Linked DNA regions of Drosophila melanogaster. The protein of the gene in region 2 interacts with the protein of the main gene of each other region in a pairwise test. Each region holds a gene or a part of one and is shown on either strand. Other genes may lie near its edges.

Region 1 (5,516 bases), on a different chromosome or scaffold from region 2:
TTGTAAGTTCTTTTTTCTCCGTGTAGTTATGGATCGGTGATTCGCCGTTTGTAGATCTGGAGTACAGTTAACAAGGACCTCGAATCCTGGCTCAAAACCCTCGATACAAGCCGTTGACCGTACAATTTGGTCGATTCTATGCAAATTTATGCAAATGCCCACCGTTTTGTAGCCTGTCGTTTGTCGTTTGTAGTTGTTGGTGGTTCGCCATTTGGTGGTGCACAGGTGCGTGATAAGTGCCGTGTAAAGGACTCGCAGGATATGCCGCAACATTTTTACTACCACAACTGTTACTCCCGCACCCTCTAGCTCAGTGCATATTATCCAGCATATCCTGCCAGCTCGCCGGTTGGAAATGAAAGGTCGACGGTGATGAATTCATGGGCGGAACGTGAGAATCCAGTTTAACTTCAACTCTAGAATATTGCCTCTGAAATATTGCCAAGTAATCCCCACGTAGAAGACAGTTTATCTCTAATTAATGGTTGTACTTATCTAACGCTAACAAGGACCCAATTGCGTTTACGCGGCAAAATGATCTTTACATCCTTTTAAGAATTAAATGTTCATATTTAATGGTAACAAATCGAACTTTCCTTTTTTAGGATATTAGGAATAATAAATTCGCAATTCAACTAGTTTTTCAAATCGGTTTTTTATTTGTCAGAAAAAAAAAGGATTCTTAGGTAATTATAGGATCTGTTTCAACATTCGTATTCCAAGGCAATGCTGCGCTTTTAGCCACTCAAAAAAAAAAAAAAGGTTTAGGTTATAACCAAACAGAAGTCAAAAATCAACATATGGACATGACCCGCATTGGGTCACTTCTCCACGAACAGATCCTCGGCGTAGGAGAAGCTCAGCCGCCGCTTGGTAACCGCCTCCACCCGCCCGCCGCATGATCCCATGGCCACCAGCTCCTCCTCAAAATCGCTGGTCGAGTTGTGCCCACTGTCCGGGCTAATGTGGCGCCTCTTCTGGGCGAACCGCTGGCTGGGCACTGCAGATCCGGACCTGGCCGCTGCGAGCAGCTTCTGCGCCGACTGCCTGACGCTGGAGGAGATCTTGGTGGTGATCTTTCGCTTGCGCCGCACCACCCGCTGCCTGCGCAGCTGCAGGGAATGCCGCTTGGCATCCTGCGATTCGGATTCGGTGGGCACGGGGGAGCGCACCTCCCGCTCCTCGAAGCCCTCCGCTGGCAGGGAATCCCTCCGCGAGGGCGACTTCCAGTACTCGCACAGATCGCTGGCCGGATCGAAGGCGGGGCGGTAGGTGGGCGATGGCGTCTGGGTGGAGCCGTGCCCGTGCCCGTGTCCGTGGCTGCTCCGGAGCACCTGCTGCCTGAGCCTGTGCCGCTGGCGGAGATGCTGCCTGGGCTGGCGGTGCTGATGCTGGTGCTGTTGCTGTCTGGCGTTGGGCAGCACCTTGCGGTTGCTCTCGAGGATGGCATCGATCATACGCTCCAGGGTCACATCGCCCATCTGGCTGGAACTGAGCGTATTCTGTTCGCCGATCGGAGGAGCTGGATGCGGATGGGGATGCGGATGTGGTAGTGGCTTCTGCTCCAGGTAGCGCGGCTTCTCGAAGTAGCTGTCCGGGATGCCCATGCCGCGCAGGGCGATCAGGGAGCCAGGAATGATGGCGGCATTGGGCGAGTACTCCGCCTCGAAGGTGGGCAGTGTGCAGGCGAACTTCAGGGGAACAGCAGCTGCTCCTCCAGTTGCCCCACTAGCGCCACTTGCTCCTCCCGATGGCGGCGTGGCCAGGATGTTGCTGAGGTCCTTGAGCAGTGGTGTGCGAGCATGGAGGCTCAAGGAGCTGGCCGGCAGCGGCGTGGAGGTCAGCTGGTTCTCCTTGCCTGGCGCCACTCCGATCGACTTCCTCTTGAGTTTGCCACGCAGGGCGTGGAACTCGCTGTAGCTGGAGCCCACCACTTCGGCCTTCTGCTCGAGAGATCCTGATCCCGATCCCGATTCCGATCCTGTTTGCGATCCCATGGCCAGCTCCTTGGCCAGATACGAGTTTCGCGGCTGGTTGACAGCCCACTTGAGCATCCTGGCAGCTGCTGTCTGTCGCTCCTGCGGTGCCAAGATATCTGGAAAAGTGGCAAAAAGGATAGGGCTAGTTAGCGATTGTCTATTTGCAAAGCTTCTCAAGCAGAATGGAATTGCAAAAAAAAAAAGCAAAAACAGAGCAAAAACCCGACTAACTTGTAGCGAAACGAGTTTGCACAGGGGCCTGCTTGGGATTTCGCCAAGGATTCGCACAGCTGAACGCCAGCTTCCCGATTTCCGCAAGGAGTTTCTGGTTCCGCATATCCTTGCGAACAATTGAGCCGGCACAAAGAGCCCGGGAACAAAGGAAAAGCGCGCTAAAGCTTCGCGATTTTCTGGGCCTCCGGTTCGCTCCTGTTCGCCATACCAACGCACTGCCCTCCAGCTGCGATTTAGCCCAAGGTTCTGCCTCGCGTATCGTGTGCTCGGGTGGTGTGCCGGCACAGGGAGAAATTATCACCCAAAATCAGGCAGGAATTTGGGGATTTATGCGCAAAAATCGGAATATCTATACATTTTATTTATATTATTTTTTAACTGATTGAACTATTGTTCAAATAATTTCAGAATCTGGGGAATTATTTGGCATCTAAATGGCTTTGTTACAATAAAGAAGATATTAAAATTGGTTCCAGATTTAGTACCCGATTAAATTATAAAAGCAATAAGCTATTCAAATTTCAATAGAAATGAAAAATGTTTACAACATTCTTTACTATAAAAATAAAATATTTAAGCAAAGCCCTTGATAGTCAAATTAGAAATTAGCGGTCCAATATACCATTTCATTAAATTTGCAAATCAATAGAAATTTTGGGAACTAAGTTCGCCAAGAAAGTTACTAATATAATTATTATTCATTTTGAATAGTAAATTTGTTGAGCTGCATGATTTTGAGACTGAAGATTCAAGTGATAAAAAAAGTGTGGCTGGGAGAACATATATATTTTTTGCCGTGTGAACTTGGGCAAAATGGTGGTGCTGCCGGCACACTCTGTTGCCTCGTCCTACTCCCATTCCTCTGCCCCATCCTCCAGTGGTGTCGATCTCCGGCCACTCGAGGAGTGATGGCGATAAGGGGGGATCCGCAGGAGTGAGCGATTTCGCTCATCTACTCGATTCCGGGATATGTACGTGCGTGCTAGCATTTTTGCGCATTTTGCAGCCGCCGCTCTCGTTTTGGTCTGAAGAGCACTCGAGCACTTGGGCCAAGTGGCCCGAGTTCGAAAACCCATTAACCCATAGCCCATTGCCCATATCCCATTGCCCAAGCTCAAAACCAAAACGCAGGAGCTAAAACCCAGCAAAACATAACCCAAAATCGCACGCGCACAATTTATACGTTTTTAGGCGATTTTAATGGGGTGTTTTTAATTAAACCCCGCTGCCCCAGACACTTCTGCTTTAATGCATTTTTAATGCACATTTAGCCCGAAAATATGCACACTGGCTTTTCGTTTTCCATTTCATGCACTTCACTTATCTTTACCTTTTTATTTGTATATATTTTTTTGGAATTTTTCGCGTTCTTCGTTTTTTTTTTTTTGGGGTATCCAAAGTTCAGAAATTGCTTCGTTTCACAATGAAAAATAATATAAAATTTTGTGGTATTTTTTCTTTGCACGTTTAAAAAAAAAATGAAAATAGGCGTAACGAGACGGGTGTTGGGAAATCAAAATTGTAAATTTTGAAATTTATTTCCTGCTCGCGATCGCAGAGAAATACACGTCCTGTCGCTGCAACAGACGAAAAGTGACTAATTCTACCCTCGCACGCAAACGTTGCGTGCTCACCTCGCAGAGCTTGAAACCCGGTCTCACGAGGCACACTGAAAACAAATATGTTGTACTTTGGGACCAGCTATACAAAATATTTTAAATGTATTACAGATTTTTGAATGAGAAGATACCCAACTATTTGAAACAGATTTTGATAACTATTTACGAATTTGTTTTATGCACACATAAAGATAACATTTAGGAATTTTGTATACAAATGAAATATATCCTAAATATATATCATAGTTGATTATTACATATTTTTAGTTCATTTAAAAGTATTGAACTACAGTCTTTTTTGACAGTGTACTAATGGAACCACCACCTTTTCAACAGCACCTTTCAATATTGAAGGTGAGATTGCCGTTCGTTCGCTCTCCCGATTTCTCTCCCCTGTTGACTGCTGAGGAATTTCGGGACTCGGAAAGGACATTCCCTTGGACTGAACTTGAAAACCTAGTGTAGCACCACCACTAGCCCGGCAATTTGAACTCGTCCCACCCCCCGGAGCGGGAGCGATCGGGTTGATATTGAAATCGAATGCTTTGCATTCCAATTCATCTCACATGGCATTTCACTTGGCATTTGTCAAGTTTGGATTTCCATCGTATAATGCTTGACAAATGCTCCGGCTAACGATCGGCATATATAATATTAATGGCCCACAAGGGACCTTCCATTGGGCCATCATCATTTGTGCGATTGATATACATGTTCCGAAATTGATTGAGATTTGATTTTGGGAAGTGTTTGGCAAGATGTCAGGAGTGACTTTTAGAATTATATCCTGCGGATTCGGTAAGTCTGAAAATATATACTATATTTTAATGAGAACTTTAAAAGCAGTTTCCTTATGCAAAATTACTTATCCTTGATGCTTTCGACTTTGATCATTTATGAATTAATCGAATATGTTTAATATTTAAGGCTGCGAAATACCAAATTCAAGGCACTGACAATAGAATCAGTCTAAACAATACGCCATATAGTCTTCCCTAGCCAGATCCAATTATTCCCTGTGTTTCGCATCACCTATTGATCTGCAGATCCTTTTCCATGGCATTTCGCATGATCCTGGGCAAATAAGCCGATCCGAGAGCCTCTGGTCCTTGAAGTGCCTGCCTGTCAATGGATGCCAGCTTTTCACGGCGATCCCAAATCAATCAAAGGATCTGGGTCCTGTGAACACACACAGACACACCAATACCAAACCCCACCCCCTGCCATTGCCCGCCAGGCATATCGAGTGGGAAAGCGGAAGAAAAGGGAAAGCAGTGGAAATCGAAGGAAGAAGGACGAAGGACGAAGGAGCCAGAGGGAAGCTCTGAGCAAATACAAATTCTAAATTATGGCCCATAATTCAGGGCCAGGTTTTAATAATTTTGCGCGCCCCGCCGGCGAAAGTAATGAGAGAAAGCAGAAGCAGAAGGTGAGGGAGCAGAGGAGCTCGCCTAGCCGTGCTAATCCCCGAGCGAACAGCTGTCCGGCCCAAGGATTGTGCATTGTGGGTCCCTATGTGTGATTCCTCGGATTTCCTCAAAACTCGGCCGCTCTGTCCTGGCGCTATCAGTGTGCGGCTTGTGATTCAAGATTACCTTTTCCCTACCCACTTTTCACTTTATCTAGATGTCCTTGCCGCCGCACGTTTCTCCAACGATGGCCAGCGGAATGGGATCCTGCACAG
Region 2 (5,611 bases):
GGGCAACGCGGAGGCAAAAGCTCCGGATGGCGGCCAATGCTTCCACAATTCAGTTCGAATTTTCGGCAACTACTTTGCCCATGCTGAATTTTTAATCTATTTTTATAATTTGTTTTGCCACACACACACACGATTCGCCGAATTCGACGCACTGCATCCGATGGGAACAAGATCGTACGTGGACATGGTTGTTGATGTGACGTCGTCGCTCCACTGATTAAGCTTACCCTCTGGATCACTGCAATAACCACGAACGCTGCGATTCATCTTGATTGAGTTGTGCGTGGTGCGCGTTCTGTGCCAGTAGTAGACTACTACTCACTACTCACTCGTCGGTTGTTTAATCATTATATCTAATCTGGAACTTTTTTGGGGTCGCTGTCCACCGCTGCTCGAGTGGGCGTGGCTGCGGTAGATAGCTCTTAATCTTCCGGCTATCCGCTTACGGCCCAAATGCGATTTAAATGTACAAGACAAAAAAAAAAACATGTATTGACTGCATGACTTTTTATCGCGGATTTACGGACAAAAGGCGCCAGCGCATCGAAGGGATAACATTTTAAATTCGATTGCCTGCATCGGTGTATATCCCAATAGCATTCCAAATAATATACAAAAAAAAATGCCAAGGCCCAAAAATAGGCTCCAATTTTCGCAATGCTCAAATGCAGCTTAAATACACATGAAATTTAATTAATCATTCAAACAATTCATTATTTATTGACAACTTTGAATATAAACATGCGATTCGGGAATGAGGACACTGGTGTGAAGGGAATGAGTTGTTGTTGTTGTTGTTGTTGTTGTAATGCTTGCGCGAAGGTGGAGGATTAAAAGCGTTTCCTGTATACATAAATAAATACTAAACAGCCTAAAATATATCCGAAATGAGCTCGAAACGTATCCAATAAAAAGCCTAGTACACGCAAACATAAGGTGCCCCCTGTACAGACGGATTCTGGAAATACTATGATCCACGGATCCCAGCCAGCGCAGCTGCCCGAGCGGTTGCATCGTGAACGAGGAACACTGCCAGAAAGATCCATGCTGCAATCTGTGAAGTCTAGTCTAACGCGAGGAATACGGGTATGTTAAATGGGGATTCATGCGAGTGGATTTTGCCAACCCGATTCAATTATGACTTTAAGCTAATGCATTCGCCTGTGTTTCCATGCATACCTCCAAAGTGTTTGGGAATGTTTGTAAGATGTGATGATGAGTATGCGTATGTTTGACAATGGCATAGTGTGTGAGCGCGGTCGAAGGTGTAGTTGTTTGTAAGGCGTGTGAGCGGAGTTTGGAATGTGTGGGGTGGGCGATTAGAACGTGTAGCCACCTTCGGGAGCCTTGGGCTGGGTGGCATTGAACTCGAGGGCTCCGTTGACCTCCTGAGGTGCGAGCTCTTGCTCGGCCTCGTCGTCGCCGTTGCTGAAGTATGTGTCAATGATGGCGTAGGCCTTCTTGTAGACCTCCTCGTTCTCGTGCTGCTGCAGAGTTTCCAGCTTGTCTAGACCGCCCATCTCCTCGACCATCAAGCATAGGTTCTCGGTGCCACCAAGTTTCTCCGCCAGGGCAAACAGATTGGATAGGCCCGTCTGCACCACCTTGATGGTACGCGGATCCTTTGTGTCCAGCAAATCGATAAAAGGCTTCAATATTTTGTACTTCTCAATTAGATCGACGATCTGTTCGGGAGTGCCAGATGTCGTGGTGTTTGTCACCGCCCAGGCAGCCTCTTTTTGAGCCTTGAAATCACCCTTCTCCAGCACGGTGCGCAGCTGCTGGAAGATGCCGGCCTGAATCACAGCCTGGATCTGCTTCTGGTTACCTGCTGTGATGTTGCTGACCGTCCAGGCAGCCTCCTTCACAATGTTGCTTTTGTTGTGCTGTAGAAGGAGTCCCAGCCTTGGTAAACCTCCAGATGCAATTACAACGTCAGTCTAATAAAAAAAAAAAAAAAAAACAGGTCGGTCAGGCATGTTATAACAATAAGGATTAAAATCATTTGTTTTCCTACCTGTTGATCTGTGCCAGTCACAATGTTGCCAACGCTGCGCAGGGCGGGCACAATAATGCTCGGCTCGTCCATTTGCAGCAGTTTGACCAGGCGCGGCACTGCGTCCGAGTCGACCACAGCCTGGATCTTGGTGTTATCGTCGTCCGTGACGTAGGACAAAGCCCAGCAGGCGTCGGCCAGCACTTGGATGTCCTGACTAAGCAGAAGCTGCGACAGGACGGGCAACAGCCGCTTCACCTGATCGAATGGCGGCGATGGATTCTTGTTCCGGCACAGGTTGGACATCAGCCAGACGATGTTGCGCAGAAAAGAGAGCGGTGTCTCATTGTTGATCAGTGGCAAGATTCCGTCAATTACGTTGTGGTGGATGACAATGTCGCGGGCGGCGGCTCCGTCGCCGGCAATGTTGCCCAGAGCCCAGACTGCCTGCTCGGCCAGGTTCATGGACTTGGACTGGAGCAGAGCCACGAAATGCGGCACAGCATTGTGTTCGATAACGCAGCGCGTTTGGTCGGATGTGCCAGAGGCGATGTTGGTAAGCGCCCAAGCGGCCTCGAACTGCAGCATTGAGCTGTAGCGGCGAATCAGGGGATATTCAATAATGCTCTCATCAACATTCTAAAGCCACTACTCACTTGTTGGTATTCTGCAGGAAGCGTATGCAAATGGGCACAATACCATGGCCGATCATCAGGTCGATGGGTGGATTGCGCTCCCGACTGAGCATCTTGCGGGCAGACTGCATGCCCAGAAACTGGCGCTCCTGATCCTCGCTGTTCATGGCCGCCACTATCTCGTCCACGGACAGCTGCACCGGCGACTGGCCATTGAGCTCTTTGAGCGGCGACGTTAGATCCTCGTCGTTGATGTTGCGCCGCTTGAACATCTGGTCCTCCTTTTTGGACTTGCGCAGCTCGATGGTCACCTCATGGCGGCGCATGCGTGAGTCCTAGGGCAAAAAGTGAGGTTAGTTCCGAACGCAGTTCTGCGGAGGATCTTGTGTACATTACCTGCGTGTTAATGCTGTTGGCCTTGTAGGAGCCCTGTCGTGAGTTAGAATCCGCCTTACTCATTTTTTTTTTTTTTTTGAGTTTTGTGTTTTTTCTTTAAAAGTTTAGATGTTTGCTGCTGCGATGAAATGTGTGAAACTGAAAAGGAAAATGTGAGTCAATGTCAGGAAGAAGCAGAATCAAGGGCTGCTTGGGTTCTTTTTTTTTATCTCTGTCTTTTATATTCCTTTCGGCGTGCAACAGGGGCGTAACCATGAGTTCAAAAAAGGGGTTTTCTTTGTGGCCAGCAACTCGATATGTTATTCCTATGTGTTAGCCAACATAAGCCAACTAATTTACAAGATTATTTTTAACGGGGCACCCAATCGCTCAAGCCCCCGCGAGTTAAGAACTACGCCTTTGGTTGGCAACAGCTGCAGCAGCCGCCATTTGCCGATTCGCGGAAAGAGGGGAACGAGAAGAGGAGATCACGAAGAGGCGGTCAAATTGATGAACGCTAGTAAAAAGCAGTGGGAAAAACCGCGAAAAGGAAGAAAAGAGTACACACGCACTTACCTTTGTACCTTTGCCCTTTTGAATGCGTGTGCTGGCTTTTTCGAATGGAAATTCACTTTACTGAATTTTTACACAATTTTTATCGTTCCCTAACGAAACGCGAGCACGAGAATTTGTCGAGCGTGTTAGCACGCTGAATGTGTCGGTGAAACTGTAGACAAACGTAGACAGTACTCTCGTAATCGATGCGAAATTGGAGTCAATGCCTGCTTGGCGCCGCCAGAATTTACCGTTTGATTTGAAAAGCAAGCCTTAGTGGCGAACGAAACGCAGATGGCTATCGATCTTTGTCAGTTATCGAAATTTGATGCCAGTGTGAACGTAGGTGCCTAATATCGCATGTTATCTTGCTGTTAACTTCGGACAACGGCGCGTAGAGAAAAATAATGTACATTTTTTATATCCACATAATTATTACTAAATTTTTAAGTAACTTATTATTTTTTTAGTATATATAAATTTCTGGTGTAACTTGTTAACGATCGCTTGCCAAGTGGTGAAGCAGCTTTTGGATTTCAATATGTTGTTGTGGAACGTGGAACGTGTGCGCATGCAAGCCAAATTCAGCCAACAGCTGAATAGAAGTCGGCTGAATCTGCACACCACGCGGGCTCATTTAAATGTTTATGACAAATGTTTATGTTTTACTTTCTCGTCTTTACTTTTGTAAGGAAAACCTTCATCTTAAAATAATATAATATTAATAATGTTTAATATTAAGGCTATACGTTTAAAAGCTTCAATTACAATTTCCATAAATATTTATGTTCAATCTTTGTTGTTAATTTATTCAACGAATATGTGTTAAAATGTAAAGCTCTATCCATATTTAATAAGACAAAAAATAGCCACCTAAATCAATATTTAATTGGATAATAAAAGGTACTGATTTTATCTGTCTACCTTTAAATATAAAATTTGATTGTCTCTTTTTTTTTGCTTGCAAATATGTTATCATTGCACTAATACCATTTAATCTCTCGATTATCAGTAATAATGCAATAAATGCGCAGATATTTCCGGTTAATGCTCTTTTCATTTTGTTTATATGCGGTTGTCAGAAATAAACAAAATTTTTTTTAGAGATGATTGCTGCCAATCGATTTAGTCCCTTTTTCAATTGTTTGTTTTTCGATTCTTTGAGAAGTAATCCGCTAAATTAATGTGGTAAATTAATTATTAAAATCGCCGCATTTAAGCTTTTGAATTATCAGCTTATAAATGTAACTAAACTACATTTAATTTGAATTAGTAGACAATTTTTTATGTATTCTCGAAGTATTTTATTCATTTCCTTATTAATTTCAACAATATTTCCGTTCATAATCCAATCTAGGCCGTCTTCTTGTTCTCCTCCGTAACTGGAGCAGCGGTGGTGGTGGTGCTGCTGGCCTCCGGGGCAGATCGTGCCTCCACCACGTCGGAATCATCGCTGTCAGGAGCTGGGGAGGATTGACCAGCTGGCGAGTAGGGTGGGAACTGCTGATCCTGGGGATAGGTTTGCTGCTGCTGCTCCTGCTGCTGCTGCTGACCCTCGTTGTAGTCAATGGGAGTGGGTTCCAGCTCGGGCTGTTGGGCCACAGGAGACTCCACCACCTCACCCTGCTGCTCGGCAACCTGTTGAATCTGCTGTGGGGCGAACACCTGCTGGTGTGGATAGTAGATGGGAGCGGGCAGCGAGGCAACGGGAGCGGAGGAAATATGGACGGGAACTGGAGCTGGAGCGGAGACGGAAACCACTGGAGCAGCAACTGCGCGGGCAGCGACAACCGGTTCCCGCTGGACCACCGCATTGAATCCGTTGATGTCGTCGGCGGTGTAGGTCACTGTGCGCTTGAAACCATCGGCATCCAGGACGGAATAGGATCCCACAACATTGCCACCGTCACGGGTCTCCACCTGGCTTTTGATATCGCCGGTGATGCTGTCGTGAACGCCGTAGGAGAAGTCGTAGCGCGGCGAAGATTCCAACTCTACCTGTTTCAGTACAGCGGGAGCAGCAGCCACAGTCTTGACCACTGGAGCAGCG
Region 3 (4,534 bases), on a different chromosome or scaffold from region 2:
TTACCGTGAACGGGTCTGTAAATGGTGTCCCCTGGCAGGCGGACAAGCTCATTTTGATGGACAATGAGCAGGATATACCGGGCTCCCTGCTGGTGGCGAATAGTCTTCCCGAACAGAAGCGAGTTATGAGCAATAATGTGAAGAATCTCTGGGTGGATTTCGTCAACGATCTGCCCGTTAACGAGTTACTGGTCAGCAAGGCAGAAAACCGTCCCAATCTTCACGTGGAAAGCCAACTGATCTTCACCCAGCCCCTCACTGTGGGTCACTACGAAGCGGGCAACGGAAATGGGCTGCTGGATAAATATTACAAGAAAAAGCGGGGTGTCGAATCGAATGACATTCATGATTGGCAGCAGCTGCAGGAAAATGTGGCAGCTATTAAAAACAGATTGGCCAGTATGTTAAAAACACATTAATACAAATTCTCCTTTAGTCATGTGCATTAAATTCAACCAACAGAGCCGCCTAAAGTGCTGGAAGGCTTTGCTGTGCTGCAGAAATTACCTCATAAGGCCTCGCACATGAAGATCATCTCCGTGGACAACGAGGACGTACTGGCCATCTGGGAGCAGATGCCCAGCGAAGTAGGGACTACTTACACATGGCAACCGGATATACATCTTTTTGGGCGAAGTTCAAGTAAGTTATGTAGATTTATTTGCATATAAACGTATTTTAAAATCAAGTAGCATATTCAACCTTAAATAGGGACAAATTCGAAATCTCAAATATTAGAAATACATTTTAAATTTAGCTTTAAAATTCATGCGTAAATGCTATGAACACTCATACCAGAACTGTGAGTAAATACATTTTACAAGTGGGCGGCACAGAACGCAGACGTTTGAACACGGAAAAAATAATACGATAAATACGAGAAATGGTTCAGACAGGCCTACTACATAACTACCTTTTTAGTTTGTCTAATAAGTAAGCTGAGTAATCATTTAAATTGCGAGTATCAGTCGGTCTACTGCTCCAGTTCGTCGCTCTGCACATCGAGGATGGCGCGCAAGATGGACAGCTCCAGCTTGGCGGAGGCACGCGAAGAGAGTCTGTTCATCACATTGGCCACGTACAGCCCGAGAGACTCGTGTCGCGACGAGTTGCATAGATTCTTGAAAAAGGTTGGCGGCAGCGAGTTGTCAAAGTTGCCCAGGTTGATAATCTCGGGTGTATTGGAGGAGGCGGCGTTGATCTTCGGCCCGAAGATAATGTCATTCTTAAAGTCCAGCTCGTCGATGTGTGGCGAAAAGCCGTTTGTGGAAGCCACCGAGGTGGAAGCAATGGTGGCGGCTGTCGATGAGTTCGCTCCCCCACCACCACCGTTTATCTGTTGTGCCGATGGAATGGTGATGATGTTGATACCCGGCGGTGGTGTCTGGTTGTCCTCACGCTCCTTCTTAACCTGCATCAGCTGGGCAGTGGTTGTGTGCACCACATTGTTTCCCGCCGGCAGTTGATCTGGAACGCTGGTGTGCACTGAAGTTGCGGCTGCCGATGAAGCGGCTTGTTTCGGGCTCGTGGTCTTGGTCTGCTTTTTTTGCGCCGATGACGAGGTGTACTCCTCCGAAAGTTTGCGCTTCAAAGAATCTGGCAGCTGAATGGTGGTGCGCGAGGAGCTTGATCTTTGCCCACTGGCTGGCGCCTGTTGCCCAATAGCCGGTTTCGGTGCTGCTGCGGAGCTGGGCGTCTTCTTCACAGTAATTCCCTTCTTTTGCAGTACTGCTGCGGCGGCGGACAGCGAGCTACTTCGCGGTGTGTTGTTAGCCAGTGTGTTGAGCAGCTTTTTCTCCTCGATGGCTGGGCGAGGAGTGTCGACGTTGGGTTTGGCGTACGCCAACCGCTCGTCCTTTTCTGGCGAACCGGTGCTGTGTGACTTTGTGGGGCTTTCGCCGTCGGAGGACGCCGAGCCGGTAGAGTTGGTGTGCTGTCCGTACTGATGGGCGTCATCCTCGTCCTCAGGCTCCTGCACCTCCAGCATTTCGTACTCCTCCACCTCCTCCATGGGTACTTGATCACTGCAGAATAGCAGTAGAAATTTTGTTAGTGTTTCACGGTTAGAGGACTATTTACGCCACTTACTTCTCCTCCTTGATTGAGATTTTAGGCTCCTGATGGATCTGATGCATCAGACTGAAGAGCTTCCACGCCGAATTGCCCTTTAGCTTTTCCTGCTCGTACTTCTTTTGGAGCACTATGAAGATGGAGCGCGATTCGTGCACAGAGAGCTTGTTGAGACGCCCGATCCTGGCCCACGCCTCCTCCTGCTCCTGCTTGCTGGCGCCGCCATTGTTTGGATGCAGCACCTTTTCTTTGGCGATGTCCTGCAGAATCTTGTCCAGTTGGATTGCCATCTTAGTCAGCGACTTGCGGCCCGCTGGTTGCGCGTTCCTGATAATTTTGGAGGCTGTTTTGATAACACGCGACACACGAATTGGTATATGTAACTAGGATCCGCTTGTTTTTCTCTCCGCTTTCGCACCGTTCGCTTCTCTTTTCTTCTGTATTTGGCGTCGGTAAATTGGCGGAAAATGTGACCGTGCAACACGCAAATACTAGAAATGCCGCCTTTTGGTACAGTAACTTAGGGATGAGGGAGATTTTGGCAACATAGATGTTCACAGTTCACAGCTCTCGATGCAGTGAAAATTAAATTTTTATATATTATATTTATCACTATAAATATTAATACTTGCATTATTTTTACTTATATAACAATTATAATGTTTCTCCATAAGGAAAAGTTATTCATTTTGGTAGTCATAACTATCGAAGGAATGGTTTTTGTTTTGTCTTTTTCTATTCTATTCTCATACTTTATTTATTTATTTTATGTAAGGATCCTTACATATCGATAATTCTTAATACCGCTAATTTACGGTAAAACTACCCGTCTATCTTGCTGCCGATAGGGACAAACAAATAACGCAATTTATATTGCAGATGAGAACTCCACGAAATTTAAATTTTATTGAAATACGTTACAGTTTTCGCCACCTCACAACGCCACGATATTTACTTTGTCCTGACCACCTATGCATTTGACCGTTTCCAAGCGCGTAGGCCCATCCGCTCCGGCTGGACTGCTAACCATAAAGGGGAATTCGGCCAGGCCGTAGCAGGCAGCGCCATAATTACCCAGCCGATCTACGGCGATGAGAGCACCCATGAAATCCTTGTGGTGCTTGAGAATGCGGCGAAGGCCCTCTTGAGCTGCCTCAGCCGGAGGTTTTCCCGCCCGCATGGTCTCCACCGCTAGCAGGGAGGGCAGGAAGCGCATCATCACATCTCCATCTCCGGTTGCCACGGCTGCACCCACCTCGTTGTCTGCATAAGCGCCAGCACCCGGAATGGGGGAGTCGCCGACCCGTCCGGGAATCTTGTGCCGCGCCCCGTTGGTGGAGGTGCCGGCGTGGATGTTGCTTTCCACGTCGATGGCGATCATGCCGATGGTATCGTGGTTCTTGCGTCCGATCTCATACTCATTGCGGGCACGGTCCTCCTTCCAGCGGGTCAGCGGAGTCGGCCGCGGCTTATACGGGCCGCAAGAGACCTTGGGATCCGGGTGAACGTTCTTCCAGAAGTTTGGCTGGCAGTTCTCAGCCGTCCACTGTAACCACATGTCCTTCGACTCCGGCGTGACCAGCGACTCTGATTCGAATCCCATAGCATTGGCGAAAGCTGACGCCGCATCACCCACCAGCATGGTGTGCTGCGTGTGTTCCAGAACATGCCGGGCTACCTTAATGGCATCCTTAATGCGTCGCAGACCAGCCACTGCCCCCACATCCATGGTGGCCCCGTCCATGACCATGGCATCCAGTGTGGTTTCGCCCAACTCGTCCGGCGATCCGCCATAGCCCACCGTTCGGTCACACTGGAGTTTCTCACACTTCGAGCAGCCCTCCACTACCGCATTCCGCGTCTGCCGGAGTCCACCCTTGCTTTGCTTCAGGATTCGCCAGGCGAGCACATTGGCAGCCGTGAAGTTCCAAGTGTTAATGACCATGGGCAGCAGCTCACCCGTCGTCTTATTCGCCTTCACGGCAGTGGTGCCAGCTTTTCCACTGCAAAGGGGCGGATCTTAGCGAACAAAGAATACGCTGTATGCGCTGCTCACCTAAACGCCGAAGTCAGCGTTGGTTTGGGCGAAGTATTTACTGCCGCAAGGATGGAAAACGCCATGGTGGCCAAACAAAGGATCCAAAGACTTGCCCGCAAGTGCCTTCTCATGGTTAATCGTAATGGTCTCTACGAGAAGTCTTGGTGTATCACAATCTGTCCCTGTTCTGCCGGAAAATGGTCGAGTTCTGCTTTTAAATGCTAGCAGTCTAACCTCACTGTTTTGCTTTCTTATCTGTTGTTTTGATATACCCTCTAAAAGAGTCGTACACATTTTCAAATTGGTTTAAGCAATATTTTAAAACTTGAAAATGTTTCAACATAGATTAAGATATAGGCAAAAAACCACCTATTAATATCGATAAAGTCCTATCCGTATAGCCTATATTTGGAGTGGAATTATAGG

Evidence for each region. The genes of interacting proteins can lie anywhere in the genome.
Region 1: the proteins of Pen (region 2) and CG15646 interact in a two-hybrid assay, tested with the Drosophila melanogaster proteins (one large-scale study listed by BioGRID).
Region 3: the proteins of Pen (region 2) and Map60 interact in a two-hybrid assay, tested with the Drosophila melanogaster proteins (one large-scale study listed by BioGRID).

What each region holds. Positions count from the first base shown.
Region 1 is NC_004354.4:15,667,241-15,672,756, forward strand, and holds CG15646 (uncharacterized protein), read right to left. Parts: upstream 3,790-5,516; 5' UTR 3,544-3,789; intron 2,558-3,543; exon of another isoform or gene 2,211-2,557; intron 2,096-2,210; 5' UTR 2,055-2,095; coding exon 822-2,054; 3' UTR 645-821; downstream 1-644.
Region 2 is NT_033779.5:10,055,176-10,060,786, reverse strand, and holds Pen (pendulin), read right to left. Parts: upstream 3,888-5,611; 5' UTR 3,583-3,887; intron 3,166-3,582; 5' UTR 3,091-3,165; coding exon 3,028-3,090; intron 2,967-3,027; coding exon 2,653-2,966; intron 2,589-2,652; coding exon 2,018-2,588; intron 1,941-2,017; coding exon 1,320-1,940; 3' UTR 692-1,319; downstream 1-691. Other genes in the region: Cpr31A (cuticular protein 31A), read right to left, coding at 4,915-5,611. UniProt on the Drosophila melanogaster protein: Binds specifically and directly to substrates containing either a simple or bipartite NLS motif. Promotes docking of import substrates to the nuclear envelope. Seems to act as a cytosolic receptor for both simple and bipartite NLS motifs.
Region 3 is NT_033778.4:9,588,855-9,593,388, reverse strand, and holds Map60 (Microtubule-associated protein 60), read right to left. Parts: upstream 2,523-4,534; 5' UTR 2,361-2,522; coding exon 2,089-2,360; intron 2,025-2,088; coding exon 974-2,024; 3' UTR 645-973; downstream 1-644. Other genes in the region: CG1827 (uncharacterized protein), read right to left, coding at 3,005-4,073, 4,127-4,239; clos (closca), read left to right, coding at 1-399, 463-642.